3 linked regions of the Schizosaccharomyces pombe genome follow. The gene in region 1 interacts genetically with each later gene. Each region holds a gene or a part of one and is shown on either strand. Other genes may lie near its edges.

Evidence for each region.
Region 2: of sck1 (region 1) and git5, extra expression of one rescues a mutant of the other (dosage rescue), as found in Schizosaccharomyces pombe (one study listed by BioGRID).
Region 3: of sck1 (region 1) and git7, extra expression of one rescues a mutant of the other (dosage rescue), as found in Schizosaccharomyces pombe (one study listed by BioGRID).

What each region holds. Positions count from the first base shown.
Region 1 is NC_003424.3:2,401,266-2,412,926, reverse strand, and holds sck1 (serine/threonine protein kinase S6K family Sck1), read left to right. Parts: upstream 1-8,223; 5' UTR 8,224-8,320; coding exon 8,321-8,560; exon of another isoform or gene 8,561-8,676; coding exon 8,677-9,367; intron 9,368-9,416; coding exon 9,417-10,383; exon of another isoform or gene 10,384-10,433; coding exon 10,434-10,626; 3' UTR 10,627-10,911; downstream 10,912-11,661. Other genes in the region: mus7 (DNA repair protein Mus7/Mms22), read left to right, coding at 1-4,623; SPOM_SPAC1B9.03C (ribosome biogenesis protein), read right to left, coding at 4,976-6,061, 6,122-6,181, 6,240-6,263; nuclear import protein Nxt2, read left to right, coding at 11,355-11,361, 11,404-11,486, 11,556-11,627. UniProt on the Schizosaccharomyces pombe protein: Protein kinase that is part of growth control pathway which is at least partially redundant with the cAMP pathway. Required for trehalase activation.
Region 2 is NC_003423.3:1,455,100-1,466,254, reverse strand, and holds git5 (heterotrimeric G protein beta (WD repeat) subunit Git5), read right to left. Parts: upstream 2,407-11,155; 5' UTR 1,930-2,406; coding exon 1,012-1,929; 3' UTR 510-1,011; downstream 1-509. Other genes in the region: putative alpha-1,2-mannosyltransferase Omh5, read left to right, coding at 1-117, 220-444; mug93 (TPR repeat-containing protein), read right to left, coding at 3,172-4,156, 4,311-4,420, 4,480-4,536; ribosome biogenesis protein Llp1, read right to left, coding at 5,188-5,493, 5,633-5,680; rRNA endonuclease Utp24, read left to right, coding at 6,271-6,407, 6,462-6,903; bem46 (palmitoyl-(protein) hydrolase), read right to left, coding at 7,692-8,591; SPOM_SPBC32H8.15 (uncharacterized protein), read right to left, coding at 10,922-11,155. UniProt on the Schizosaccharomyces pombe protein: Beta subunit of the heterotrimeric guanine nucleotide-binding protein (G protein) involved in glucose-induced cAMP signaling.
Region 3 is NC_003423.3:858,786-868,029, forward strand, and holds git7 (SGT1-like protein Git7), read right to left. Parts: upstream 7,245-9,244; 5' UTR 7,210-7,244; coding exon 6,953-7,209; exon of another isoform or gene 6,897-6,952; coding exon 6,503-6,896; exon of another isoform or gene 6,460-6,502; coding exon 5,971-6,459; 3' UTR 5,870-5,970; downstream 1-5,869. Other genes in the region: U2 snRNP-associated protein sap61, read left to right, coding at 1-1,099, 1,155-1,288; phosphatidic acid transfer protein Ups2, read left to right, coding at 2,446-3,000; SPOM_SPBC36.11 (uncharacterized protein), read left to right, coding at 4,489-5,520; ubiquitin hydrolase Ubp15, read right to left, coding at 7,755-9,244. UniProt on the Schizosaccharomyces pombe protein: Involved in cyclic AMP (cAMP) pathway, possibly by participating in the assembly or the conformational activation of specific multiprotein complexes.

The sequences.
Region 1 (11,661 bases):
GATGATTCACGGTTTGACACCAGCGAGTTTTTAGATTCAATTTCTCGTGATAATGGCTGGTTGAAAGAAGATGTGGTTGATCAATTATGGCTTCCTAAAAGAAGTTTATCCGCTCTTAAAAAATCAAGTTCTTTGACGTCGGAAAACCCCTTTCAGCTAAATGTAGCAGCCAATGCTGTTTCTACTATTCCTGTCTATCGCACAACTAAAACCAAAATGAAAAAAAATAGATTTAAATATGTCGAAGTGGAAAAATTACCAGACCTTATCCTTGAATCGTATGGGAAAAAGGCGCCAAAGTTTTTGAGGGTGTTTGCTCGAAGTTCATCTCATATTCCAAAAATGATTAGAAGAAAAAGACAAATGGATTCCAAAAAGTATTTTTCCTTCGACAAAGAATCCGATCGCCAAGTTATTGATCAAGTTCTTTCTGATTGGTATTCAGGTAAACATGAGCTTGTTCAACAATCTCATTCTTACAAAAAGCCTTCAGATTCTAAGTCAGTTGGTGGAAATATTTTTTCTGTTAATTCTAAAAAGCATAGTGTAAATATTAACGCTAAAACAGCAGCAAATAACGGTTTGAGTCATCTTCAAAATTTTAGCGAGGAACTCTTAAAAAAAAGAAAGCTATTTTCTTCTCTTTTTTCTAATAACGTTTCATACAAAAAATCCAAAAAGTTAAAAAGGACTCATACAGTACATGACAAATGCCAAAAAGTTGCCAAATTAGACCATTACATTAGGGACAATATTGAATTAAACTCAAAGGAAAGAGAACATGATTGTTATGAGGGGACTTTAGCTGTACCCCAAGTAAATACTGAGATCCGCAAGTCTTCAAGAAAGCAGAAGGCTCAACGATTTATACGAGACGATTTTGACACCGTCTTTTTTCAATCCTCTTCAAACCCTAATTATTTTACAGATGTAAATCCTTTTTGGAATATAGGTATTTGGTCTACTACATTTAATGTCATAACTTTTAGACCGGGACTTAGTTTGCCCAACAACTCCTTTATAAAAACCCAAGGGTTAAATTCTATTCTTCAATTGGACATCGTCACACATCCTTTTAAGTCTGTTTATGCTTTTTCTTGTTTATTCAATATCCAGGATGATGTTTTTAAAACATTCGAAAAATTAAAAGACACTTTTGAGACAGTCTTAGAAAATCTTCCATACTTTACAAACTCTGAAACTGTTGACTTGTACAATCTACTTTCTTTTTGCTCTGCGTTTATTCTTCATTCTCAAGTATCAATGGGCTTGGTTAACTTGGCTTCCTCCTTTTTAGAAACCTATGCATTAGTCAATGATCGTGTTTCTTCTATATCGGGGTTGAATAGATCACAATTGGTTGAAAAAATAGCTGTGTTGTTTCAAACTTTTCAAGTTGTATTTTATTGTGAATTTGAACTTGGAAATCAGCAAAACATTAATAAAGTTTCCTGGCTGGCAAGTGATTTGATTTCAAAACTTCTTTCTGCTGGTCAATCTGGTCTATTGGAATGTTATCGGAATTTGAGAATTCAAGCTTCAGATACGACTGTAATTGACACTCTTTTTTTGGAATCTTGGTCAATTTTAAATCATATTCTTTTTCATGTATATAAGAAGAAATATGCTTTGTGGGAACAGGTGAATTCATTTTTTGATCTTCAAAAAAAGGAGTTGTCTATATTAGAAATGGAAAAAATTTGGTATGTTATAATGACGCTCAATCCCGTTTTCCAAATTGGGCTTAATGGAACGACTCATTCACCAGGAAACAATAGTTTTTGGCCACTGATAATCAGAGTTTCAGAAAGTGCATTTAAAATGCATAAGGACGGACACAATGTTAAAGTGGTTGAGCGATACCTTCGCACAGTGTTTCTTCGAATTCATTTTCTCATATCTGAATGGCGTTGGGAGGATGTGGCTCAAATCCTATTTTTGATATTCGATTTCTTTAGCCATAGAAAGTTTAATGACCTTTCTTCTGAAATATCTGAAGATACACCAACTGACTTTCCTGATTTTGTTAAGTCACTTGACAGACCTCCAAATCTTCATGTAACTGCTCTTGATACATGTTTTGTAATTTATTTAAAAGTTATTTTAATTTCTATAAGCCGTTTGAGGCAAGTAGATGAAAATACAAATTCAATCAAGAGGATAGTATCCAGATTACAGCCCTTACATTCACGTCAATACACGCGAGAAAGTCCATTCTCAATTAAGGACTTTATGTCTTTGGAACATACTCACACTCTTCTTATTTGTCTTTATTGGGCAGCACCCGAGAATTGTAGGCCCAGTTTAAATCGCATTAGGGATATTGTAATCGTCGATAATTCTCATCTTAAGGCACGTTTAATTAGTCTAAAAGCATGGCTTCACCTAATGAAGTATGTGATAAAAGAGGGAACTGATTATGAACTCGCTCAGGGAATGGAGTGGTTTAATTCCATTTTAAAAGTTACATTTGATGAATATCTTGCTCTCTTTTCAAATGGAACTTCTGTTGGTGAGATGCAATTGGCTGAATACTCGAAACATCAACTTGAAAATGCGCTAATTGTAGCTTTCCATTCCCTTCAAGATTTAATTCCCAATTCTTCAGTTTATATTAGTAGGATAAACGTTTTGGTGACGGAGCAGTCATGCCGGCGCATTCTTAAAGACTCTCATTTTTTTCCTCCTCGCGTTACTCTGGAGTGTATTTTATTTCTAAAAAAGTTTTTGCAGTATCAATCTAATACAGAGCCACCTAAGGTTACCGTTGTTGGTAGCACTTCGCATGATAGTCAAGATGCTTACTTTGATTCTGATGTGCTGGATGATAACACACTCATTTTAGAACAAGAAAAGTTTGAACGTAAATACGAAGTGGCTCAAATATTGAGAACATTTGTTTCACCCTTTTTGTATCAAACGATATCTTATCTCGTTGGAAATGACGAGGACAAAGAAAATTATATTCGTATTTTACTTTTACCATTAATGGAGTGCATGGCAATTTGTGCTAGTTTTGCTGTAGAAGCGAAAATCAATGACTGGAGTTACTATATCGATTTTGGGTCTGAGTCTTGGGAAAGGATTCGTAACACTCCTTTGAAAAGATCTCTCAGTACCACGTTTTATTCCTTCCTTATATCTTATAATGATTCTTTTATTAAAAAACATGAGGAAAAAGTCTTAACTGTATGGTTTGAATCACTGGGCGCTTTAGATGAGGATCATGCTGCACAATTTACGATTTTGTTATTACAGAAAAACCTAAAAAATCCTATTTTGCTTAATTTACCGATATCCGTCAAAATTGAGGAAATTAGTATAAATTACTTTAAGTCGGTTCACTTGAATTTATTAACAGCTGTGTTTTGCAACATGGCAAAACTGTATGCTGATGCCAAGACAAATGGTTTCGCGAGCTCTCAATATTTACAGAGCTTGTTTATTCATTACCTATCCTCTCTACTGTCTTCTATGCAGCATAGTTATGAGACAAATGGTCATTCTTCTGATACTCACTCTTTGTTTGTTATTAATTCACAACGTGTTGTCGGAGACATTTTACAGTATTGTAGTCAATTTGCAAATGATCGTAACCTTCCTGCCCTCAGATATTTTATGGACTCAACTAAGTTCCCCCAACCACCGGAGCGTCTCGAATATACGGCCTTGAGGTTACGAAGTTATGCGAGAAAAACTCTCACAAATTCAGCTTCTCAAAATGCTTTGTTTAGTTTCCTAAAAGCAAATTTTGATGTTGCTCTGCTAGAACAAAAGCAAACTGAAACTTCTAATCTTTTAAGGCTGGCTATGGGATTCCATAATCAAAATAGCTCCAGCAAATGGGATGTCGAGATTTCTTCTCTTCGGAAATTTTGTGTAAAGGAACTTTTATTGAGTTACCTTGGTGAAGGCTCGTTAGCAGCTATGTTTTATTCATTGTTACTACTGGAGGGTCTAAGCCGAACTTACAACAGCTTTAGACGTATATATTTGCAACCTTACATTCAACAGTTACTGTGTGAAGAAATTTCTGTTTTTGTGGCTGATTTAGAGAAATATGCTTTATTATATGAAAACAAACGCCCTTTACTTTCTGGGAGAATATATTACCTTATTTCTTCATTTGTGGCTATAAGCATGACAAACAAAACCAGTGGATTGCCATCTAGTTTAATATGTAACTTACAGAATTTTTTAGCTCGCATAGCTCGAGACTTCCTTCTTGAATTATGTTGGAATATTGAAGGGTCTGAGTTTCCCCCTCCTTACAATACTGTTGATTGTCGTAGCAAATTTGTTAAAACTATTCAGCAACATTGCTCAGCGGATTGGTACGACAACGTTACCAATATTGTACATAAGTCTAGGAAGAAAAAACTAGTTTTGCCTTCTCAGGTGGAACAGGAAGAAGAATACTGGTCAGGTTTAATGGAAGTTACTATTCAAATATGGAAACACGATAAAGGTTTTTTAGAGCCTGAATTAGATAGGTTTCTCAATGTAATTTGCAGTTATGCACCTGACATGAGTGGGTTACCGACAAAAATCAAATGCTTTTTGGATAAAATCGGCTATTCTTGGATGACTGAAGAGAATGATTTTGATATTGTATTGTTTTAAAAGCCAAAATTAAAAGATTTTTCAGTTGTGGTTGCTTTTGGTTTCCACGTTGTTTATTTTATTTATTTTATTTATTTTTAATATTTCATTTGATGTCTGTGTAATACACAAACTCATTTATTAATTATCTCTTGTTGTATACAAAATAATTAGACAATGAAATAATCCAGTTCTGCATATTTCTTTTGCTTAGAGCTCTTTTTTTTTGCTACTAGTACATCCATTAATGTACGTAATTTTATTATCACATGACTGTGGTCTAATTTGACCAGTAAAATATAATGTATTTCTATTATAAGCCATCTGATCAAAAATACTTCTAACCTAAGATAAAACCCAAAATCCAAATATATTATTCTGTATCAGAATAAGCAGATGACCCTTCATTTCCGCTGTCATCATTTTTGTTCGAAGAAGTAATACCTTCTTTTTTCTGGTCTTTTCTTCTTTTCTTATTTTCACGTTTCCTCCTGACATTTTCGTCTTGCTCTTTCTTTCTTTTTTCTTTTAACGCGCGACTCTGTTCGTGAAAATTATCTTGTTGCTTTATTTCCTCTTTAGATTTATGGACATGACTGTGATAAAGTACCTTTCCTCCCATCGCATCTTCAGTAATCTTGATCAATTCCAATGTCATCCTAGGGCCTATTTCAATTAACTTAATTGCCTGTTGCTTAGGTTTTAATAGTTGAGATGCCGATAGTAGATTCTCTTCAGTTTTAGTCGGTACAGGACGATCAATCTCTACGGTTGCATCCTCTTCGATTTCTGAGTCACTTGCTGCACCAGAAATACCATCACCATGTAAAACATAATCCGAAATATCACGAACATTGTGTAAATCAGGGATATCAGAGTCCTTTTTTTCACCTTTCAACAGATGTCTTATAGGGCGAGAAATACCCACAGGCTTCGTGCTAATTATGAAATGACGAAGGTCGATATAACCATCGTCGCGGCGGTTTAATAACAGAACCCGTTTAACACTATTAATGTTGGTATGTTGGACTGAAATTGGAGGAAACATATTTTGAAATGTAGTCGTTAGCAAAGCTTCATGGGGAGAGTCTTTTGACGAATTTTGATTAAAATGATTCATGACCAAAAGTGGAGGAGTAAGGAACTCTGTTGTTGGAGATTTAGGATTTTTTTGAAGTCTTCGAACATCTTTGTTCAGCATATACTCATGAATCCTAAAATGTAATGAGGGACCTCTAGGAGCCCTAATGATTCTCAAGTTCGCATTGTTGTCAGTGCGAGAGAGGACAAGAAGATGTGTAACTCCAAGAGGTCCAGCCATAGTCAAGTAATCTTTTATTTTATTAGCTTTACGCTCCTTTAATCGAATAGCTGTATGTGGTTCCATCATATGTCGAAGATCTCGAGTAAGCAAAGATAAGCTTCTACCTACTTCAGAAGCGCCCGATCGAATTACCATCTTAAATAAGAATTAGCAAAGGGACTAAAAAATTTTACAATTTTACAAAATTGCACATACCGATTTAGGAATTGCTGCTTCTTGTATAGGATCAGCTTTCAAATGCGTCCTCTTTTTTACCTATAATTAAATTAGTTTAAATAAAGTATTTCTTTTAAACTATCCATTCTCAACATACCCGTTTTTTACCAATGCCTCCCATTCTTTGTGGTTGGTAGTTAAAAAAAATTGTACACTCTCAAGAACACCAATATGCAAAGTTCATTTCCGCCAACATGACAATAAAGATGGCAATAGACATTATTTTTTTGAAAGCTGAATTTTCTATTTTAACATATCTCATTTACATGCTGTGAACATAATTTGAGCGAGAAATTTTTTATACTAGTATAGTTAATAATAATGTTATGGGCCTAGAAGTAAAAAAAGAAAAAAACACGTGAAATTGAGAATAATGACCGTACTACGAAATTATGAAAAATCTTTTATAAACACTTATTTAATCAATAATTTTTTGGAAGTAACTGATTGTATACAAAATGATGAACTTCTAAAATATACCGGTTTATTTGTCGGGCGTAAATCTATTGTTTGTACACTGACTTTGGATGATGCATATCATTAATGTAATTGTAGCTGATATCTCTTGACTTTTGTTTTGGAAATTAAACTATTTTGTATTGATAAATTAACGTAGAAAAGCACCACGATAACCTGAACCTCGCCTCAGCAGCTGTTTGTTTAACCTATGCGGAAGACCCCCACATGGTCCTTATTATCGGTTTTATGCCTAACACTAGCAGCTTAGCAGTGGTTATTAAAATGAAAGCCCCCACAAAGTACTAAGATGGGTTTGCTAGTACGGCTAATCAAGGTTGCGTAGCAACGTTTGTCAGAGGAACGAAAAGTGGTACTTTGAATGTCATTAATTTAACCGATGATTTTCTTATTTTGTTTGTAATTTCTGATGGTCTTTTACGATATTTAATTTGAAATACTGTGCTATGAAAAAAAATAATAATAAACAATAGCAGTGAACTATGACAAACTAGCTCTTATTATATAAATTACTATACAAAGTTATCTTTTTACATGAAATTTTATTTCTCGTTTTTTTTAATCATTTTCCTTTTAAATCTTTTTTTTGGGGAGGGAATTAACAGTTTAAAAAAATTTTTAACAAGGGTTATTTTTTTGGCTCCATTTTAATTAATTGTACTCTGTAAATAAAAGATTTAATAAACTCAAGGAATATAATTGACCACAGTAATGAGTATAGAGAGACTTAAATAAAAAAAAATTAAAATTAAAATTAAATCAGCCGAAATACAAAAATCCCGAGTATTTTGCATCAAACGCATATCAGAAACCATGAGAAGCAAATAACAATTAGAAATTGTGCCCAAATTTGCTAATGTATGTCAGTAAGTTACAATTTTAATTGACCAGTGGACATCCTACTAAAGCTCATTCATTCAAACACTACAATTGATTTATTAAAGAAAAAGAAACTTTTCTGGTAAATTTAGTATGACCTTTGGTTAAGGCATCAGCCAACGCATTAAAAATTATTTGATAAATGTTTATAAAAAAAGAGTGTAGCATTTTTCGGTACTATCTAGGTATTCCTCGAAACTAAACAGTCGAAAATCTCATAGCTTGAGCTCTCCGAAATTACGTTGTAATGTGCTTTAATTTCTTTTGTATATGTAGGCTAAAATAAATATACATGAAGTTTCTACTAAGCCATTCGGAGAACTCTGTTTCGATACTCCTTCGTTGGACAAACCTTTGAAAATCACAAGACATTTCTGAGTCAACAGCGTATTAATTGCTCGATAAATTTCTTTTTCTGCTTTTAGAATAAGTGCATAATAATAAAATACACTGCAAAGGAATTTTTCAAATGTTTAGGGTTATACATCCCCCTTACCTGAATCCCTTAAGAAATAGATAAATGGAAGTGCGGCGCCCCTCTGATATTATAACCATTTAAAATTATACATCTATATAATCATAGTAAAATACGAATTAGTGTTCGAAAAATACTGGATTTTCTATCCGTTCGCTAAGATATCGTACTCCCGGATGTTACCACACTTTTCGATTAAGGGAATTGCGAAGGTTACATATGCGAAACACCTGCTGGTCGAACCAACTTTAAACACCACACCCTATTATTAGTAACACCAGACGAGGAATCCGATTCCATTAAAAGAGTATTAAAAGATTCTTGATTGATCATTGCTTTTGCTGAAAATGACCGAAATTTTCGGTAAATTGCATCGATCATCAAATTCTGAGAATACAAATCAAGCATCGCCATCCACAATACAATCGCATTCAACGCAACCGGTTCTTTCCAATGACCATTCTACGAAAGTAAACGATTACGAAGGGAAAGAGGGTGCTTCGTCTAATGGCTATGATCCCGTTTTCATGTCGGATCGGATGAAGATGCGTTACAATGAGATTACAGCTCAGCTTCACAAAGAACAGGTATGTTATAATTGATTTTTTGCTTGAAAGACAATCTTCCCCATAGCTTTCTTTATTGTGTTTTTCAAAAATCACTGTCTCCATAAATTGTTGTTCACTTGGCTAACCTATCATAGTCCTTAAAGGAAGATAAAGAATCTGGTTCTAATAGTTCCGAAAGCAATGGAATTACACCAATGGGTACATATTCAGAAAAACCCAAACTACTACAGAGTCGTACACCTCCATCTTCGTGTTACATTAGGCATGATACCGTTGTGCCAAAAGATAAAAATGGTCAGCATGCTTTTGGACGGCTTTATGTTCGATTACATCAAGGTAGAGATTTGAACGTCAAAAGTGTTAATGCACAACCTTATGCAGTAATCACCTTTGAAAAAACGCAGGTTATGGTACCTCCTCCTTTTAAAGACATTGACGGTGGGATACCCATTTCCATTCCTTCTAAAAACCGTCCTCTTGCTGGATCTGCTTCCGGTTCTTCTTCTGGACTACATTCTGAGCTAATGTTGGCTGATGTGCGTTGTCCTCATTGGGATTTTGAAACTGTATTTGATGTGACAAAAATGAAAAGTCAAATGGTTGTATCTGTATATGACAAATATGAAGACGATAAATTTTTGGGCTCCGTTAAAATTACACCAATTTTCCTACATGAATATGTGCAGGAAGCATGGTATAAGCTTGAGCCTCTTGACTTAACTAAGTCTCTGGAGGGTGAAATAAAAGTGGAAACAATTTACGAGCACATTGAACATGTTCGTTATGGGCCAGAAGATTTTACGGCCCTTCGTTTAATCGGAAAAGGTAAAGCTGCTTTAAGCTAAAAAATTTACGGTATACTAACTTTATTTAGGCACTTTTGGGCAAGTTTATTTGGTCCGTAAAAACGATACCAATCGGATTTATGCTATGAAAAAGATATCCAAAAAATTAATTGTTCGTAAAAAAGAGGTTACACATACCTTGGGCGAAAGGAATATACTTGTCAGGACTTCATTAGACGAATCTCCGTTTATTGTTGGTTTAAAGTTTTCCTTTCAGACCGCTTCAGATCTTTATTTGATAACTGATTATATGAGTGGAGGCGAACTTTTCTGGCATCTTCAACATGAAGGTCGCTTTCCTGAGCAAAGAGCTAAATTTTATATAGCCGAACTTGTTTTGGCTCTTGAACATTTGCATAAACATGATATTATTTACCGAGATTTAAAGCCTGAAAACATACTATTAGATGCAGATGGTCATATTGCTCTTTGCGATTTTGGTTTGTCTAAGGCAAACCTTTCAGCTAACGCAACTACTAATACCTTTTGTGGAACCACCGAATATTTGGCACCTGAAGTTTTACTTGAGGACAAGGGGTATACTAAACAGGTCGATTTCTGGTCTTTAGGAGTCCTTGTCTTTGAGATGTGCTGCGGATGGAGCCCCTTTTATGCTCCAGACGTCCAACAAATGTATCGTAATATTGCCTTTGGAAAGGTCCGTTTTCCAAAAGGAGTTCTTTCATCAGAGGGTCGAAGCTTTGTTCGAGGCCTTTTAAATCGCAATCCAAATCATCGTTTAGGAGCAGTTGCTGACACTACTGAATTAAAAGAGCATCCTTTTTTTGCAGACATAAATTGGGACCTACTTAGCAAGAAGAAGGTTCAGCCGCCTTTTAAACCGAATGTTCAAAATGATCTGGATGTTTCCAATTTTGATAAAGAGTTTACCAATACTAATGTGAAAAATATCAATATAGTTTCCAATGTTGATCCCGCTAATGCCTCGACACCTCTATCCAACACGATTCAGGACAGATTTCGTGGTTTCACTTTGTAAGTTTATTTTTAAATATTTGACCATCAACTAACCTTAAACTTTATAGTGTCAATAAGTCCATTGATGAACAGTTTCAGAACCTGGGACTACAAGAAAACGAAGAGACAGATAATTTACATGCGTGTCGCACAACAACCCATTCATCGGTTAATTCAATAAATTCACATGGGAATCCACGTACGGTGGATGCTAACGATCCCGTCGCAGATACTGTGTTCGGCGAGACGTTCGAAGCTTGATAAGCTTGCTCCAATCAAAAAATTTGTCTCCTATTATCCACAATAGAAGATAACTTATTATGTATTATGTTCCCCTTTCGTTATAGTTATTTTGTCTCTCAAAGGCTTCGCTCCGTGTTTTCTAGTTTACCCAGGAATTAAAGCAAACTGTGGGTGTTTTGCTTTTGTTTCCTTCTATCCTTTATTATTTGTTACGTTCTATTTTGTAGTCATCTTCATATTTTATTATGTGAACATTTAATAGATTAAGTTTTACATTTTTATCCCAACTCAAATACTTGTTGCTTTCTTTTAATTATGATTGAAGGTGCATTAATTATGCAAAATGTGAAATACATCGTTATAAAAAAGAATGTAGCATTTAATAAGCAATCTTCACAATCAAGTAAATATTATGTTCCATTTCGTTCATGATACTAGTTAGACGCTAGCACCATATTTTTTCTCATAAATTTTGTCTCAATAGGAACGGATAAACATCTATCCTGTTGTTTGCATGAAGTAAAACCCCTTCAAATCTTATTGCAAATTCGTTTTTCTACCATTGCCAATACTATTCGAATAGAGGACTTTTGCCAAATAACACAACTATAAGTTTATCATGTTATTTTACATATTAAGAGTTGTATCATTTTACGTTAAATTACTTAAGGTGTCTGTACGATCTTTTTTGACGCGATTTTTCGAACTTGAAATAATAGGTCTACCTTTTACCACCATCTTTCATTATGGCTGGTAAGATAAAAATTTGTATGATTTATTGCTAATACTCTGCAGACTATAATGCTTTGGCGACCCAGTTCACTCAATTTTACTACCAAACTTTCGATTCCGATCGTTCTCAACTTTCTTCACTATACGTATGCGACTTCTAATTATGAAATTAATCCTACGTGTATTTATCTGGGCAGCTAACTTATATATATTAGAGAGAAGAGTCGATGCTGAGTTTTGAGGGAGCCCAACTCCAAGGAACTAAAGCCATTGTGGAAAAACTTGTTGTATGATAATAACTGAAACGTCTTCCTTTTTTTT
Region 2 (11,155 bases), on another chromosome or scaffold:
AATCTATGCCATTTTTGGAGTAACTTCGAAATTGCACGCTTAGACTTTTACAATAGTAAAGAGTATAATGAATATGTCGACGCATTGGAAAATGCTGGAGGATTTTGGACTGAAAGGGTATGTTTTTACAGTTTATTCAAAAAAAAAAAAGCATTGTGTTCTTCGAAGTGCAATCTTCTTCATACTTTTTTCCTATCTCTGATTACTAACTTATTTTAGTGGGGCGATGCTCCGGTGCATTCGCTAGCAGTGGGTCTTCTCCTTAATCGATCTCAAGTCCATTACTTTAGAGACCTTGGGTATCAACATTCCACAATTCAACACTGTGGTCAAGAATATGGTTGTAATTGTGATTGCCCCTTCAACATACCCGATTATGAAACTAAGCCAGGTTCTTGTATTAACGAGTGGGCATCGGTGATGGGGGGATTTTTAGATGAATAAGAGCGAATACGGGTACTTTACGCTCTTTGTATTATAGCTATTTACAGTTTCTTTCAATTCGTAGTATACATACATAGAATTTTATTTAATAAAAGAATTTAATATTTGGGTTGTTCTTTCATAAAAATAAGTTTTAAAAAACAGCAAGACAACATTTATAAAAAAGTTTATTATCATACGTAAGAAGAAAAATACCTTTAAGAAAAAAAGACTAAAGGGTAATCGTTAGGATTAAACGTTTACAAAATCGCAATAATTAAATAGTAATAAAAAAGCGCCAACCTTTGCAAGGCGAAATTTTCGAAAAGGTATATTTTTGTTTAGAAATAAAAGAGAAACGTAACGAAAAAAATAGGGAATTAGTACACAAGGGTTTATGAATACATTATCAGTAAAGCATCACGAAACCACGCATAAACGTATAAAAAATTAAGAAAAATAATAAACCAGTGGGACATGAAGCAGTCAACCTCCTAGAATCGAAAACGTAAATGTATAAGAAAAAAAAACAAAACAAACATCATCATTTCCAAAGACAAAAAAAAAAGGAGAAAAAAAATCATTAATTTACCCTGACGAAGACCAGAGACGAACACATTCGTCCCAAGAGCCAGTTGCCAACATTGTTCCATCAGAAGTTAAAGCTAAAGAGCTAATTCGATTTTCATGGCCTGTTAATGATGTGATGGTTTTGCTTGAGATGGAATCCCAAACCTCGCATGTTTTATCTTTTGCGATAAAAAGAAGTTTTCCAGACTTGGAAAATAAGACTGAATTAATGGGGGAGGATGATGGAGATGAATACTGGAATATCTCAGCAGAAGCACGAATGTCAAAGCACCGAGCGATACCATCCTCTGCACCCGTAACAAAATCAGCGTTAGAAGGAAAAAAGGAAATGGAATTAATATCCGATGTATTTCCGGGAAATGTGGCACAACAATAAGCAGCCCGAAGGTCCCAGAGCTTGGCTAATTTGTCACAGCCTCCGGTAACAAATAAATTGGGATTTGAGGGTAGGAAATCTAGAGAGACAATATCCATTTCATGACCTTTCAAAACGCTAATGGCTTTTGCCTGCTCTATGTCCCAAAACATGCAAGTTTTATCGCCAGAACCCGTAAGCAAATGACCGTCATCGACATACTTACAGCACGAAACAAATCCTGCATGCCCAACCAATTCGACCGGATCCGCATCTGGAACACTGGTATCGTATACTACGCAAAAGTTGTTCAGCCCTCCAGCTGCTATGCTCTTAGTGGAGGGTGAGAATGCACAAGTCATAATCCATACGCTTGGTGCTTCAAAGAACGCAACTTTGTTGGAAGTGTGCAAATCCCAAACTAACAGAACATCATTCGTTGATGCAGATAATAAGTACTTTCCATCTGTAGATATGTCGATGTCAGGAATTTTTCCCAGCTTGTTTTTGAGAACTCGAGTCCCTTGAATGTTGACGTTTACTCTTGACCCAGAATCCATCTTTAGAAATTGAACCAGTATTCCGTCTAATATTCATACAACAGTAACGTAACTGTTCCTATACGATATACTCACAAAGAAAGGGGAGGAAATAAGGATACTAAAGATCTTAGGAAGAAAAGCGAAAAGAATATAAATCCACCTGATAAACTACTCTCACAACAACAAATTTAGAATACTCCTACAGGGGTGCCCAACTTTAAATCCACCCTAAAGAGTAAAAAATAAAAGAAAAACAATACAAAAAAAAGGAAGAGAATAGTAATGGTGCTTCGTTTAAAGAATTGCAAGCTCTAATGTTAAAATTGGCGTTCGCCTTTGAAACAATTTTACGATGACAAGCCTCTATACAATCTATTATTCTAATACAAGCACAAAAACATAAACACCAAAAGGACCAACGTATCGTTTTTCAACAAACACAAAAAAACGGCTTTCTTCGCTTTTTTACTGGAATTTATGTAAAGAGCTAAGGTCAAAAGAAGAGTATTGGGAAACCGTCATAGTGTGTGCAGCGTAACACAAACATATGGAATACGTCATCCTCATCGTAAGCATATAATAGCCGATTCATTCTGCGGTTTTCAACTTGTAGACTACCATAACCTTGCCATACCGATAAAATTGTATGAAATGAACGTTTAGTTAATAGAGATAATAGAAAATTGAAAAACCTGCATTAGACATATATTTTTTTGCTGTTGTAGCGATTATGAGAAAAGGGTTGCTTTACCACGTTGGCTGTGTATCTGTGAAATGGCTTTGTTATAAATAAACAAGCAATTTAGTAACAGAGATGTAGATATTTTGGATATCTTTTTTATTTTGATTAAATCGTGAATATGCGATTCATGGCATATACTCAGAGTATGAGAAACGGCAGTATTGGTGTGCAACACAAAACTGTCTTGAAAGTTTTTTTGTCTCTTTCATTTTGTTCAATTTCTTTAACAATTACACTTAACATTTGACGGACAATACTTGTGTATTGGGTCGATGACTGTCTTCATTGCTTGGTGTATCCGGCGGTAAACAAAATGGCAAACATTTCTACTTTGCCCACAAATATATAGCTTCATGTGGTTGATAATGATTATTTCAGCACTGAAAATAAGAGGTTGATATACAATGAATGTGTTATTCATAAACTACACACGGTTATTAATGCCTTCTACTCCAAATGATTGCATCGATGGTTTCTGGACTGACTTAACATACAAAAATTTATTGTCATCAATGTTATCATGTGTAGCAATTGATTGGGATCTCTGCAATTTCAAATTCAGAAGAGAGATCAGTATTGTTGATGGGTTTTTTGGAAACATGCCAGTTTCTGAATTCTTCTTCTTGGATGTCAGGAATATGCAAAAGAATTTGAGCTGCCGTTATATGTAAACAATGTTGCACGACAAAACTGAACCACGGCAGCCCACTCAACGCTTGCATCAGCGATCGTGCCTTGTCGGACCATTGCTTGCAAAACCTTGAACACAATCCGATATAGTGTATTGATTTTAAGAATAAATTTAACTGCTCAACCGACATTCCATGAGCTTTGAACAATTGATTAATTGTGGAAATAGGAAATGAAAACGTTTCAATGTACAAACAGGGGGCAGATAGGACTTTTATCATATAAAGAAACTGATCTATGTTTTGAGGGCATGGGTAATTGGATCTGTACAGTTCCTCTGGGACCAATAGAGAGTGTTCTCCCTTAGTTATTTTATTTTCTAATTCGTCCTCCGAGCTTTCTATTCCGATTTGGGCGCTGGGCGAGTGATTTTCGGTATCATCCTTTGCATAAGTATTTGCCATGTAAAGCATAGACCGCATTGCTGAAAGATTCTCCTTTTTCAGTTCGCATTGCTGTCCACACAATTGGCAATTGTCGTGCACTTTCTTCCACCAGATCTTGCCACGAATTATATTAGGGTATTGTTTTCGCAATCCTACAGGTAATTGCTGAGAAGAAGCAACTCTAAGGTGTCTTAACTGCCATGTTTCTGCACATTCTCTGTAAATGTAATACACTTCCTTTAATCTATGAAGAGATTTTTGGATGTATGTATTGTTTGGGTCCAGTTCAAGTGAATGCTCCCAATCACGATTGGCTAAGTGAGGATGTCCAAGTCGCAAATAAGCTAGTCCTCTCCTCCATATCACTTTTTTATCATACGGATTGATGACTAGAGCATATGTACAGTCATGAACTACTTTAGTATAGCTGCATGCAAAATAAGTTAGTTAGCATAAAAGCAAAACTGCTGCAAAGGTTCAGACGATGTTTTTTTTTCTTTCGAGAAACCCCGTTAATAATCCAAAGGATTCTCTGAACCTTTGTGACATAGGTAATTTGTTAAATTTATTATGTTACATACGATTTTTTGCGCAAATGAGTTAATGAGCTATCGGCGTAAACCGGTGTAATGGTGTTTTCATTTCCAATTGCATTAAGGAATTCATCAAAAACATCTATTTCTCGTGTGTTCTGTTTATTGAGGGTTAGAAACGTTACAAACATCTTCTGGTAATCAAAGTAGAGCATACCTCTAGTGCAACATAATTGCTTTTTTCCACCAAGTTTACGTTCTCCTTTTCTTCCATTGCGATTTTGAATGCAGATGGTTCAAATCAGATGGAATGTCAATCTATTTGTTTATGTGGTAGAACAATATTGGAATGTATGTGTGAAGGCATATCATAACCATGTGCACTTTTGTAAACAAACAATAACTAAAATTATATTTTAAGCGATAAAAAATACGCAAATAAAATTAATTTAATATTTAGATATTCATACTTTATTACATTTCTGTAAAAATCAGGTTTTACAACCAAGAGCATTACTAATTCTATTTCATGTGGTAAACAAAGCAAAAAGCACGATTTAAAAGTGCAGTTTTTGAGACAGAGAGACGTTATTAGTTACATCGTACTTAATTACAATAAATATAAAAAATAAAATTAAAAAATTGACTTATTCCAACAATATAGAAACTTCATCGTGAAAAAAAGTAAGTCTTTGAAACAAAATATTCATTATTGGAAAAAAATATGTTTTTATAAAGAATAATATAAAATAATCCAAACCCCCCAAAAGCAAACAAAATCCTTATGCAACACGGTCAACGTCTCCAGTTGAAAACCAGAAATTTGAAAATAAAATTATCCCAAGGAAAAAAATCTGAGAAAAAAGATTGATAATTAGTTCTTAAAAAGATCTCGGAGTTTATATATTAAATGGTGAACTTAAATTTACTTTTTCTTCAAAAATTTCGAAAAGTTACTGTTCTTGGCACGCTTTCCTTTCTTTAAATGTTTCTTTGCCCATTTGTTGCGATTGTTGTCACGAGGACCAGAAGTAGAGACTTTAGGCTGATCAACTTCCATACCAACGTTATCGGATACTTCTGAACTGCTGACTTCTTTCAAGGAATTATCGGCGATTCCCTCTTCTTTGCTAGAGGATGACTTTGTAAGGTCATTGACCTGGTCACGTAAGTGCGCAGACAAACGCTTAGTCCGCTCATCAATTACGGGTTGAAAAACGTTTTCTCTAAGCTATTACTTTGTTAGATAATCGATAAAGAGGTATGAGAAGGGCAATTGTTTTAAAGACGGTTCCATTGTACATAAACCGTTTCCGAAACCAAAAAAAAAGACATTCAATCCCTTCATTTGTCTATACTATACAACATACCACTTTTTTATTGCGACGAATGCTTTTTGAACGTGCTGATTTTGCCATTGCTGATGTGTGAAAAAGTTGAATGCAAAGGTTCATCCATTTTTACAAAACTTATATCATTTAAAATAGCACGCTGGTATTCGTTATAAGCTATACCGTTTGTAGGGTACGCAGGGAAAGCACTATTTAGCAGAATGTATCATGAAGTTTTAGTGAATAAAGTAATTCATATTAAAATACGTACTACATATGTCTGGGCGGTTCACCGTCTCTTCTACCCTTGAACCACAATAAGTTAATTGAAAGAAATAATTTGGGCAATGTAATATACAAGAAAGTATGTCGCGTAAAGTTGTATTATGTATTTTTTCGTATCGTTATATAAATATACCTATTTATTTTTTTAACGATCAGTTGGATTAAAAATACGTTATGCTTCCATTGTGATACACTATTTTACATTATGGAAGTTTTAAGAATGCATTGAACTTCATTGTCCTTCAGTCTCATCCAGCAGCCTGCTTCCCTCTTTGAACAACTAATAATTTTTTTGGGCACTTCCAATTGAAAGGGTATTTAGAGCTTTGGACGTTGAATGCGAAACTTGTAAATTAAATCACTTCTTCTTTCTCTTCCGTTAATTATTTTCAATGGGTAAAGCAAAAACTACACGCAAATTTGCTCAGGTAAAGCGAGTCATAAACCTTAAGGATCAACGATTGCAAAAGAAAGATCAGAAAAAAGAGAAAGAGAAAACTACAAAGAATGGAGAATTAGTTCGAGAAATGTAAGTAAATTTTTTTATAAGCACTTTATTGATTTTTGATGCTAACCCCTCAAGTCCACAAATGGCTTCCAACCTTTTCTTTCAGTTCAATGAGAGTCTAGGACCTCCCTACCATGTTATCATTGATACAAACTTTATCAACTTTTGTCTTCAGCAAAAGATTGATCTTTTTGAAGGACTCATGACCTGTCTGTACGCTAAGACCATTCCTTGTATTTCTGACTGTGTAATGGCTGAATTGGAAAAATTGGGAATTCGCTATCGTATTGCACTTCGAATTGCCAAAGATGAACGATTTGAACGTCTTCCTTGCACTCACAAAGGCACGTATGCCGATGACTGTATCGTTCAACGTGTGATGCAGCACAAATGCTATTTAGTTGCTACCAATGATAAAAATCTGAAGCAAAGGATTCGCAAGATTCCAGGTATCCCCATTTTGAGTGTTGCGAATCATAAAATTAGAGTAGAGCGTTTGGTGGATGTGGTGGATTGAGAAAAATCAAAATTTAACATGAAAAAAAGAGATCATCTTGTTAATTGATACTTGACGATATGTTTTACCCGTACTATCTTTTCTGGTGAATTACTTTTAGAATAGACGGACTCCTAAAAAGTATCGTGGTAAAAGTGATCCATATTTTTTAAATGGGTTTATTTCCATGAATGGATTTGACGTCTGATTATTGATATATATTTTTGTTATTAGGGTATTTGGTTTTAATATCGTTTCATCTCTGTGGAATAGTGAATGAAAATGTTTATAAACTTTTTATGAAAAAGGATTGATTGGAAAGTAGTGTTCCGTTTTCAATGGTTACAGCAAAATTATTTATGTGAGCATTTTGACGGGGGTTTTTTTTTTTATTTATGAATAATAAAAATGGAAAGAATTATGGTTTGTTTACAAAGTAGTAGGAATCTAAGAAAAAGGACAAAAGTTATTAATTTCTATGTAGGTATATATATACGAAACGGTTGATACAATACAAAGCGAATATCAAGAAAAAAAATATAAGCAATGGAAAATTGCTTATCAGTACTATTCTATTCCTATAAACCCCAAATACTTACATACTAACTAAGGCTACTATAAAAAAACGACAATTCTAAGAAGAACGAGAAAGAAAATGGATGCAAGTGAAAAAAAGCCCTCGATAACCCCAATGAAAAGGGAAAAAATTTCGATTGAAAAAAATAATAAAAAAGAACCTTTAAGCTGGCAACCAAAAATGTAAGGTGAAATGGAGAATAGTTTGTTTTCAAAAAAAAAAAAAAGAAAGCTTAAGAAGCAGGTGTGTTGATATCATTTTCAGCGAGAAAGTCAGCAATCACTTGAAAATAACCATCTCCGAGGCATGTGTCATTATGAGTACATTTTGGAAAGCTGTGAAACTTTTTCTTAGCACTACCGCACAAACCAAACAAAAGGACCATTTGAGGAGGAGGGACGATTTCATCCTTTTCACCAGAAAGAAAGAGCACTGGCAATTTCTTAATTTTTCTAATCTCGTCCTGACTTGACCATATTTCTGTGCAAAAGCGACTAATGATGGAGCCACCGTAGGGAAAGACGGTGGGAATCATGTCCTTGATGGAAGTAAAGGTATTCTCAAGAATCAAAGCAGAAATGCGATCTTGATTTTTGGCGGTGAGAGCGATAGCAACGGCACCACCAATAGATTGACCATAGACGACGATTTTTGTTTTGGAACAAATGGGATGTTCCATAAGGTACTCCAAAGCGGTTTGGGAGTCAATTTTTAAACCAGCTTCGCTAGGAGAGCCGGTGCTCTTTCCGTAACCACGGTAGGAAATGATGAAGACGTTCATATTGAGAGCAGAATAGAATACACGAGCGATGGGAAGACGATGACCCATGTTACCGGCATTAGCATGAAAGTAGAGTAAGGTGGGACGAGATTCAGGAGACTCGGATTGTAGCATTAAATAAGAATCCAAAGTGACTTTGTCACGGGTCCTCAACTCGATACGCTCATACTCCATGTTGAATTCCTTGGGTGTTGGAACGTTCTCACGAGAACCCTGAGGAAAGGCACTGGGATAAACGAGGGTCTTTTGGTACTTGTACAAGAAGCCCAAAGCAATGAGGGTAACGGCTAAGGAAGCCATACCACTGTATTTGAGAACATTGAAGATGGCGGAAGACAATGAACCTGCCATGTCGAGGAAAGAAATGAAGGAAGGATGAATGTAGACGCGTAAGTAAACAATGGGGTGATGAAAGAAAATGAGAAGTGTAGGAAGTGAAAGAGGATTTTCAGCTACAGTACGCGCATAAATAAGATTCAAATTTGCTTTAAAAAGCGCGTACAGTCTTGGAAAAGGGAAAAGGCAGCTTGGAAAAGTGATGGATGGTGGAGGACCAACATTTTTAGGGGGAGAGATTAAGGAAGGCTAGCGAGGAAAGCTAAAGCTACAGTGAAGGAAGATTGGGTTGAAGGAAAGGAGAATAAGATGATATGAGGAGGAATATTACTGTAATAAGAAGGTATCGGTCTTGGAAAGAGAAAACTAATGATAATATGAAAGTTTGGGTAATATCAAAAAAGAGTAGAGTGATATCAATTGTAGGATGGAATAATAATGTAAATAGTGATAATAGTATTGTTTTAATAGTAATATTGTTTAAAGGAATCAGCGGTATACATACGGTGGTAAATACAGTGGTAAATAGTATGGATAATGTGATCATGATATAAGGAAAACATTGATGGCGTATAAGAGTAGGAAAAGAGTGGTTTATCAAGAGTAATAAATATTGGTCGTAGATAAAATAACGTCGCAGCAATAAAAAAAGAAGCGACGGACTAGCAAAGTGCAAACGAGAAACAACATTGAATAAAGCGAAAAGGGATGGAGATTGAATGGAAGGAAAACAAACCATTGTCGCGAGTAAAAGGAATAGATGGAGAGGTAAACAAGGAAGAAGAAACAATAAAAGTAGAATAATATATTAATGATTATAGCGGCAAAAAAAAAAAAAATTTAAAAATAATAATAATAATAATTTATGAATCAATCATTAAAAGGAAAATCAAAAAGAAAATAAATGACTGAATAATAACAAACTGAATAGTGAATAAGGATTACAACGCAACGAAAAATAAATACATTAGCAAATATTGAATGAATTAAAATATCAAATGAAACCCCAAAAATAAAAATAGATAATTTAATTTGATTAAATAAATAGTTAGTAATGATTGAGGATGGAGGATCGAAATGAGTTTGTAAATGCAGTGTCTATTATTGTGCATTGCTAAAACATCAGAAGAGAGAGAGGAAGCAAGTTTGAGAAGGATTTTTATTTGAATTTACATTTACATTTAGATTTTTATTTTATTTTTTTAGATTTTAATTCAATTTTATTTTGATTTTATTCAATTTTATTTTATTTAATTTTTATTTATTTATTTTTTTTTTGGATTTTACTTTGTTAGCCAGTGATTTATTTTTATTTATGTTACAATGGTTATAGTCAAACACATTTAGAGTGAAACAGTAAACCAACGGCTTTAAAAATTAGTGAAACACAAAACCAAAACTTTATTACATTATAGCGATCCCTCATTACCATACAACAAACTCATTTACAGTAAAAACAAGATAGAGCTTAACTCTACATTATTTAAAATAAGAAAAAGAAAAAAGAAAAAAGAAAGAAAAAGAAAAAAAGAAAGAGATTTTACTTGTCATGCTTGCCTCTCCCTCTCCCTTTCTCCCTTCATCTTGCTTCATCTCCATCTTCATCTTCATTTCCATTTCCTTATCCATTTGCTAAACGTCATAACGTAACTTAAGGCAAAAGCCTCGAATCTACCGACTCCGCATTTTACGAATGTTTGTGTTTTTGCTTTATTATTTTCCCTAGTAACCCATCCACGTCCACAGGCAACAAACATAATGTGGCAAACCAAAAATTTTAATTCGAAATTTGAAGCGCTGCGTAGAAAACGGTAAATCAACTCTATTCTGGTGGGAAAGGGGATGACCCAACTATCATTGATTACAGCAACCATTATCAAAGTTTGGTAATGCGTAAGAAAAGAAGCGAAGTCCAGTCTCACTCGTTTAAACCGTCGATTAACGTTTAGGTTTTTTTTATTCTTTTTCTAATTTTTTAACTACATCATCGAAAGAGAGATGAGAGGGAGAACACAAACAAAACAACAACCTCATTTCGTCACAATCGGATAAGAAGTAATGGATTGTTTAATGTTGATAATGAAAGGAAAGGAAATGAAAAAAGGGTGGGTGAAAGATGAGTTGTGTTGGAATGTTTGTCTTGTTTTCCAAGCCTATTCTATCTTTTTTGACACAAATAGTAACATATATTACTTTTTACTTTTGCTATCACTGGCATCATTCAACTCTTTTCACCTCCGATTCCATTCCAATGTCCAAATTTCCTTGCGATTCTTGTTAGTTTTCGCCCCACCCAAAAAATTCCCTTTCCCCCCCCCTTTTTACCACTAAACAACAACCGCATATCATTTGCCGAGCATCCCCGCTTCCCCGCCCAGCATTTCAATTACCCCTCCTTTTGAGAGGAGAGCTCGGCCGACCCATGTCGGCCTGAGAATTCGAGACCAAGGAAAAAAATATTGCATGTCAACTTTATGTGGCCAACCGCAATGCAAAGAAGTGGAAAGCGGTGCGTAGCAGTGGATAGCAAACGATAAGGAGTGAGATGAGAGAAAGAAAAATATAGAGAGAGAAAAACA
Region 3 (9,244 bases), on another chromosome or scaffold:
ACAGAGTTTTATAAATCGCTGGGAGAGATCCAAGAGTTTCACAAAAAATATCCTGATCATAAAGTTGAGGATCTGAGTCAATTATATTCCATAAAGCCTTCTCAACCCGGGATTGACGAGATTGACACGTTATTTCGAGGTGAAGAGATGTATGGTCGATTTATGGATCTTAACGAATGTTACGAAGAATATATAAACTTAAGCAATGTACAGCATATTTCTTACTTAGAATATTTGAAAAATTTGGAGGATTTTGATCAAATCCCCAAGCCTGAAAAAAATCAAACATATATCAACTATATAACTCATTTATACGAATACTTGGTGTCCTTTTATCGCCGGACACACCCTCTGTCAAACTTGGATAAGATTATTGCGGTTTTTGATACTGAATTCGACGCAGCATGGGAAGCTGGACTTCCTGGTTGGTATTCACACAACGCTGAAGCCGAAAAAGATGGGAAAGACTCGACGGAAGCATTTTATTGTGAAGTTTGTCAAAAGTTTTTTGGGAAGATCACTGTATTTGAAGCTCACAAAAAGAGCAAAGCACATAATAAGGCCGTTAAGAGGATGCAGTCTTCTAGTCCATCTACCACAAGTAATACGAACGAGAAGCAAAAAGGACCTAAAGCGATTGCCCGTATCGAGTTTTTAATAAAAAAGTTAACGTCTTTGCTTGACGATGTTCGAAAGGATACTCGTGAAAATGTTGTTCGTCGACAAACTTTGACGGCTGCAGAACGTTTGGCAGAAGTAGAGGCTGCGGAAAGAGAAGCCTTTGAACAATCGACTCCAAGCGTAAGTGTTGAGGGAAATCAGGATGAGGAAAGTGATCAGGATGATGAGGAAAAGATATATAACCCTTTGAAGCTGCCATTGGGATGGGATGGTAAACCTATTCCATTCTGGCTTTGGAAACTCCATGGCCTTGGTAAAGAGTTTCCCTGTGAAATTTGTGGAAATTACGTGTATATGGGTAGAAAGGCATTTGATAAACACTTTACTGAACAAAGGCACATATACGGGTTAAAATGTTTAGGAATATCACCTTCACCTTTATTCAATCAGATTACTTCTATTGATGAAGCTTTGCAACGTAAGAAAAAAATGATTGTATTTGGTGAGTTTATGTTACTAACGAAAATTTTTAGTTTGGCAAAAGTACAAGGTGGACTCAAAGAAGCGGGAAACCACAATGGCGTCTCTCAATGAAATGGAAGATGACGAAGGTAATGTGATGTCTGAAAAGGTTTACAACGATTTAAAGGCCCAAGGTTTATTATAAATAACGTACATGACTCAATTTTTGTAGTCGTGTAAGTGTACATTAAAGAAATAAAAAATTGATATTTTCTTCCTACTTGAGTTATAAAATGCTGAGCATGCTCCTTTATTCTTCTTTGCGTTACATACCGAAGCAAACGAAAAGAGAAAACATGAAAGCTAAAAGGCATACTATTTTGAATTCTCGTGACACAGCATGTTTTGATCTTTTATTTCCCCCCTTTCTTTTTGATTGCGAAATTTTTGATAGTTTCTCATAGCACTGCTCAACGATAGATCTCCTCCCGGCATTTTGACGATCTAAGGCCCAGTTGGGTTTGATTGAAATTCTAGAGTTCTGTTATCTTTTACGTATACGCTTCTACGGGCTAGTTAGTGTTTGATGTAGCAAATGCTATAATTTTCTCAAGCATAATAAAACAATGAGTCTTGTGCATTATCACCGTATTAAAAAAAAAAAAAACTAAAACAAATAAGAATTATTTCAGCTAGAAACCAAATCCAACTCCTTCATAAGAGATAGTGTTGTTAATACATAAAGTACATATTTTATATAAATTTCTATATATCTTTTATCCATAAACATAATTAAATGACACTTTTAAAAACCCATTAGTATAATATAGGCCTTATTCCGCTTTGGTGCGTTATTATATATAGTGCATCGTAAACTACAACCTTATAAAAAGTGCGATGCATATCCTCTGTCGTACCCCACCTCCACCAAATGCATTGATTCGCTTATGGCTATAGTTTAAGTAAAAATGGTTAATTATTGGAGCTCCTTTGTCCCGCCAACCAGAAAACCGCATATAAAAATAGTTCCGCTCCACTGCTCTGTACATAAAAAAAACCATACACTAAGAAATTGTACATTAGTTAAAGATCCCAAAAAAAGCATATTTTACTTACGGGCTGATTTCAATTTAAAACAAACTCGAAAAGTAAAGGTGCATCAGTTAGTAGATCTTACCTCAGAAAAAAATTAAAGAAAAATCTTACGAGCGGCCCAGAAAGAAACTTTTGGTTTTCTTAGTTCTTGAGAGACAAAAGTTAATAGCTAAAAGAAGTTAGCTAACTTTTTTGATTTAAAAGGGTCATTCATTCTTTTTTTTTTACTTAGTTCACGTAAAATTTCATAAAATTTAGGTATCCTAAATGAAGATTTTTGAAAGTTGCCACTTATTTCAATATCCTTTTGAACAAGTTTCAGCGGCTCACTGGCAGAAGTATCCCAATGAGCATGCTACTCATGTGATAGCCGTGGATACTCTTGATCGCAAGGTTTTGGATAATGGTGTATTGTATACGGAACGCTTGATCACGTGTCACCAGGCCCTTCCTAGATGGATTTTAAAATTGATTGACGGTGCGCAAGATTGTTATATTCGAGAAACTAGCTATGTTGACTTGAAAGCGCGCACTTTAACACTTTTAACCTCAAACTTGACGTTTAGTGATCGTTTGAGAGTAGATGAGACGGTGACTTACTCACCCCATCCTGAACTGGAAGCTACTGTTTTTCAACAGGAGGCTCGAATTGAAGCCTTAGCGTGTATGAAGCGGTTGTCAAACCTGATCGAACAATGGTCGGTTGATGGTTTTGGAAAGAAAGCTTCCCGTGGAAAAGAAGGCTTCGAAAGTGTTTTAGAAAAAATAAACATGTCTGTATTCCAAACGCGACCGTTTGGTTCTTCTGAAGCGACCGCATAGACTTTGTTTCTTGATTCAACCTCTCTCTTTTTTCAAAAGTTTAAAGTTATCGGTTACGAAATAATCTTTTCTCCGTCAGTTGGCTTGCGAAATGTTGCAATAAGTCGTCTTTTAGTTTTCTGTTTCTCGTAATATTACTCCTCTAACCTATTTTTGATCCCCTCTCTTCTATTCTCGTTCTTTTAATTAAAAACTTCTTCAAGTTGATTGACCATTATCTATGTCTACGCTCAAAGATGTTTGTTGTTTTTAAAACAAAATGTGTGTCATATTTTTGACCAATACGACTTATAAGCTTTTTCCAAACATGTGTGTTTACAACTTTTATACCATTAATTTAATCGTCTATTTCCCCAAAAAATCGTGAATGCACAAATGATGATGCGCTATGTTAATCGCTTGCTTCTTTCTCCCCATGGAATAGGCTGCTTTCAAATCATCTATCTGAAAATTAAAAGGTTTATTCTTTCTTAAATGCAATATCTGTTTTACAAAACAAGATTGGACATCCACTCCTTTTTTTTTTTTAAAATTTAGTTAATATAATAACATTCATATAACAAGCGCCTAAATTATCATTGCTTGAATTATACAATTAATACATTTTGCATTCATGTGCAATTCGCATTTAAGTGTAATACGAAATCTGTAGAATTTGTGGCCAAGAACCAGTTTTCTTAAAAACTAAAAGAGAATTGTACAACCTCTCGCAATTATTAGTATTACCCATAACGTACTGAATAAAAGGAACGGGACTTTCTCTTTAGTGCCTGTCTCCTATACTTACCAGCCAACTTTAGTGAAGCGGAAAGTGTTGTCCCGGAGTTTCATCCGTCTTCCAACCGCTACCGACACTCTTCAATATAGACTAATTTTGATCGCAATTTTGATCTTTTTGGTGCTTCTTTTGTTTGATTTTTGTACCGTTGAAAGACGTCTCACTTTTGAATTTTCTCTTGTGGACTTTACCAATGAGCAATTGGCCTAAATTTACAATTCTAATATTTCTCCTCTGATCCTTACTCCCTAGTCGTTCGTTTTTAATTACTGTAAGATTTGTTTAAAACATTTTCTATTTCCTATTTACATTAACGCTTATGATTCAAGTCAAGGTTTTTTCAACGGCTATATAGTTTTGTATGTCTAATTAACTCGCACGCTTTGAACATACTGTATATTTTATCATTTTATAGCTTTATTCTTCTCCAATAGTTGCCATCTACTCTTTTATTACCATTTTAACCAAGGTATTTTAAATCATTTTGGGTTTTTTTTGCATTCTTGTACTTAGAGGTTACTGGAAGAAGATTTTAATATTTCTTATTTATCAGTTGTCGCGAAATTCCGTCAACAATTTACTCTGACATTTTTGGGATTAACGAATTTTTCTTTGAGAAATTCAAAATTTTATAGTTTATTGGATTTTTAATTTCAAGTTTCATTTACATTCTAATTTCTATCATTTTTACGATTGGTTTGTCATCTATTATGTCAATTTCCAATGATTCTTTGGCTTCAACCGTTCCTGGCGACGAACTTCCTTCCTCTTATCCAGTTTTTTCTTCCGACTTTTCATATATCAAACCATCTCATGTTCTCGACGTAGTAACTGTTACTAGCACAGCTGGACCCGAAGCAACTGATGATCCTTCTTACAGTGGTTTTTATTCAACTGTTATTTCAACGCAAAACCCCGAACCAACATCTGCTTCTACTCCACCCTCGGCAAGTGCATCTTCTTTACCAAATGGTGCTCAAAAACATAACCATACAGGCGTAATTGCTGGTCCCATTGTTGGTGTGTTAGGTGGGTTAATTGTTTTAGTGATAATATTCTACTGCCTTCGTCATTTTAAGAGGAAGAAGTTCTTAGCTGAGCAGCAAGAGTTTGAAAGGCAGTTTGAAGAAGAAAAATCTCGTCTTGCTGCTGTACGAAAAAATACTGAGCAAGAAAAAATGGGCTATCGTGGTGGTTATCAAATGCATTCAACTCCTTGGGCTTCTTCACCACGTAATTCGACTATACCTCAACGGTCGCAATCTTTTTATAATGACACCAGGCGCTCAAGCGATTTAGGAGCCAATGCTGCAGACTTTGTCACACCTCCTGGTAATGTCGCTAACTCAGATAATATTCGCATACTTAAACGGAATTCAATTGCAACTATTGGAAATTATCGTTCTCCTAGTGCTTTGGAGAAAAGGCGTTCTATATCGTATGGTGCAGTTCAATCCGTTCAAGGAAGACCCTTGGCACCAATTCCAGGAAGGCGACCCTTATCCATATCTTCGGATTTGTATAATGACTCGAATTCTGGGTCACATTCGAACGATGATTCTGATGAGACGAAGTTAAAACAAAGTTCAACTGAATCATCTAGTGAGTTGCTCGATGAAAAAGATAAATTTGACAAAAACAGTTTGAATGACCCCTTTGTTACAATTCGCAAGTCTTCCTATGAGCATGAAATTTCGGAAGAGCATAAAAAACATTCAAAGAAGAGATCAGAACATTTTTAAGGAATTGCTGCTTAATGGAGTTTCCAGCTACTACTAAGATATACTAATGACTTTTAAACTAATCACGTATATTTGATATCTCATTTTTTTTCATTTTCACTGCATTAAATCATAATACTGGTTGTTTTCATATTAGATGGAATAGAAGGTTTTTTTAACATTTCTGCTCAATTTATACAACTCACACCGGAAGGCAACTTTTGGAATTAATTCTAAAGGTTTTATCAATTAATCTTTTAATTTTTCAAATTCTATTTGCATATGGCCTTTGCAAAAGAACTTAATAATACTGTTTCTTATACTCTTTTAATTTGCTACTCTAAACGTAAATGTTTACAAGAGTTTATTTCGCATAAATCTCAATTGATAGTTCATCAAATTAGATATATAATTATAAATAAATTGTTAAGCTTCTCTTCAAGCTTGTAAATGTAAAAAGTTCATTCGGAGTTAAAATTTTTTTGGTTCCATTCCCTGTGGAGGCTTTGTTTCAAATGTTTTGCTTTTCACATCTTTCCAGTTAGTTGATAAAGCAGTGCCGTTACTTTCTGTATAGCTTTTCATCATAGCTCTTCGGGTGTCATCATCGGCGTTCTTGTACAGATTTTGAAATAAGTTAGCCAAAGCAGCTTCTCCAGTAGGTTCGTCTTCTTCCAAATCTGCCAGCTTTGCTAGCGAATCCCAATCCTTCGCTTTATTTTTCGTATTACCAGAAGCACTTGAATGGTTTGAATCTTTAGCATAGACGTTCACCGAATTGTTCGCCGGACTCTTAACTAAGGCCTCCCATTTTATCTCGCTGACTTTCTTAATTAAGGTAATTTCAACCTTACTTGAAAATAATTTGAATGACGATTTTTCAGGAACAATTTCTTCATACAGAGGATCTAAAACCAAGGAGAATATTGATCCATCTTCAAGCTTAATTTCTATTTTCAACTAAAATGGTTAGCCGGACGGTTTAGCTTTGCACAGTCCTTACAGTGTTCTTTTCCATTAATAAGCTCACATCTTCATCTTTGACTTTCTTCGCATATATGTCGATATTTAGGGAAAAAGACGTTTGGGACCAGTCATAACGAATTCTATTTGAAAGTTTTTCTTCGTTTTTTTCTATTTGGCCTTCCGGCGCCTTCAAGCTCATATTAAGGAACTCTTCGTCTCCTTCAATTTTGGCAGCTTCTAATTCCGGAATATTTGGACATTCATCTGGAATGAGCGATGAGGTGTCCTGATTCTGTTGTTCGTGAACGATCGTAAGCATGCTGTCTAGTTGAACTTGCCATTTTGTTAAATCTTCTTTTTTTAAATGTTTTAGGGCAAATCCAAAACATATGGCAGAACTTTGATATTGCTCAAGTAAGTAATACGCAAGCCTGTAAAACATAGTCAGCAAATTACAGAATTATAGGAATTTAGAAATCGTATTTACCCTCTTAGAGATTGACAATAACCAATTAAACCGGTATCGGATTTCTTTTTTGCCAGCAATAAAGCCCAATTAGCATGCTTTAGACAACTAAATGGTTTGTAGGTATTTATGCAAGTTGTAAAACACTTGATATGCTCCTCTATTGAGAATGATGGTTCTTTTACGATACATAGGTTTCTCTGCTTCGCCAAATCATTTGACAGTTTATCAGATAATTTGAAAAGGGAATCATTAATATCAGAAAGATCTACACCCATTTTATGGTTTTGCTTGTAAAACGGCGCAGAAGCTTGGTGGATTAGAAATTGAAGGTGGTGATAAAAGCTAATGCCCAGTGAAAGCGTGTAAGGAATACAGATCATCAAGATTATTATTATATGTAAGATGGACCAAACATGGGTTGATAACTTAATAAAACACCAATTTAAATGAGTTTTGGCTATGGGTTTCATGTGAATATTTTATCAAATGTTACGATTACAATTATTAACAATAAACATTACATTCTGCTACAATATGAATCACTGTAGAGATAAAAGAATACATTTTGGAAAAATTTGAGTATAAAAGAGCGGGCGATTATCGATTTTATTTAATCATACGCAAAACAACAAGTAAATAGTAAGATATCATATAATGCGAAGCGTGCTTCGCAAATTTTGAAACAAAGACGTCATTACGCGAATGCATTACTATTTGCCAGAATATATCAATTTATTGATTGAAACAAAATTGCTTGGCTTCTAGTAAATGGCACCGCTAACATTCAAATTGGAGGTTTAAAAAGGTGATGTATAAACAATTATTTCATTCTTATTGCTTGGTCCATACCATGGTATTGAGCACTACCATTAGCTGGTGGATGATCGAGTCCCAAGATATGTGACTGTGGTTCAAGTTCTCCATAGAGTACTTCATCATCGTCGGTAAGATAATAAGGCTTTCCAAATGACTGGGCCTGCAAAACTGCAAGCTTGACTTTCGAGAACTGGGTATCGTTATAGCCCAATCGTTTTTGCAGCCGTTTTTTTAGGTCTTTCAAAGTCTCACCACGAAGTAAGACAAAATAAAATGGGATATCATGCAACCGTGATAAGTCTTTGAAAAAGTGTTGTACTACAATTGACACTGCATCATCAGTCTTTAATTGCATTTGTTCTTCTTTGGGCGTGACTTCAACATAAGCAGTGGAGAATTCATTTAGATCATATATTCCATCCGTGGGTAGATGACTTTTCAAAATCCGGTGATTGTAAACTTCATAAAGACGAAGTCTCGAAGCATCTTCAGCATTTAAAGGTACTTTTTGAGTAACCTGTCGAAGAATGTCTTCCACAGTTCCTTCCTTGTCAACATAAAACTCCATCTGAGTTTCATGCGAAATACCATTCGACAGGAAATGCACCCGGATTAATTGCTTACGCTCCAGTTCACTAAGCGTAATGTCCAAGACTTCATAGAACATAACCACATTTTGGTTATGAGAGTAGGTTGATGGTATCGCATTTTGTAAGGTAAATTTCGAAGGGTTACGAATTACTGAACGAGGAGTGCGCGAAGGTAGATGTGCCATAGTAAACTGAAGATAATTAGGATCGACATTAAGTTTATTGGCCACTGCTCGAGCCATATCAGTATAATTGGTATGCGTTGTAAGCACCAAATCAAAAACACCATTGTTGGTATCATCGGAATAACGAGGCTCAAAAGTAATTACTACTCTATGTGCCATGAAATCATAGAGGTCAAGAGCTGATTTGTAAGGGTGAGAGGTGTCCGATGAAGAATCATGGACCAATTTCTTCTCAAAACATATAATGTCTCCCACTTGGATCTCGGATTTTTCAAAACTAGCATTCGGATCCAAAACATCAACCATGCCGGTTTTAATTTCTTCATAATATGTGATAGGAACATCAGAAGACCACTTTAAATGTTCACGAATCCACTCTGAAAGTGAAGAAATGGGGCTATTCTTTGAAACATGTAGGTCGGCCAAACCGGATATTTGCTGAGTTTCATAATCGAAAATCTTCAGAAAAATGTAGGTGTCGAAATCGTTATCATCCGTGGCACCAAAATCCGCAAGTAGCTGATTGTGTTCACTTAAGAATTCCACATAAACTCTCATATCCATGTCTTTACGTATATGCATATCACAGATCTGATCAACGAGTATAGTCTTTTTATCAAGTGGAAGGTCAACTCTAACAGTTCGATTTTGGCGATTCGTCATAAGCCAAATACGAATACCACTTGTGTCTCTATTAAGTAGTCCAGCAAGGTGCTTTT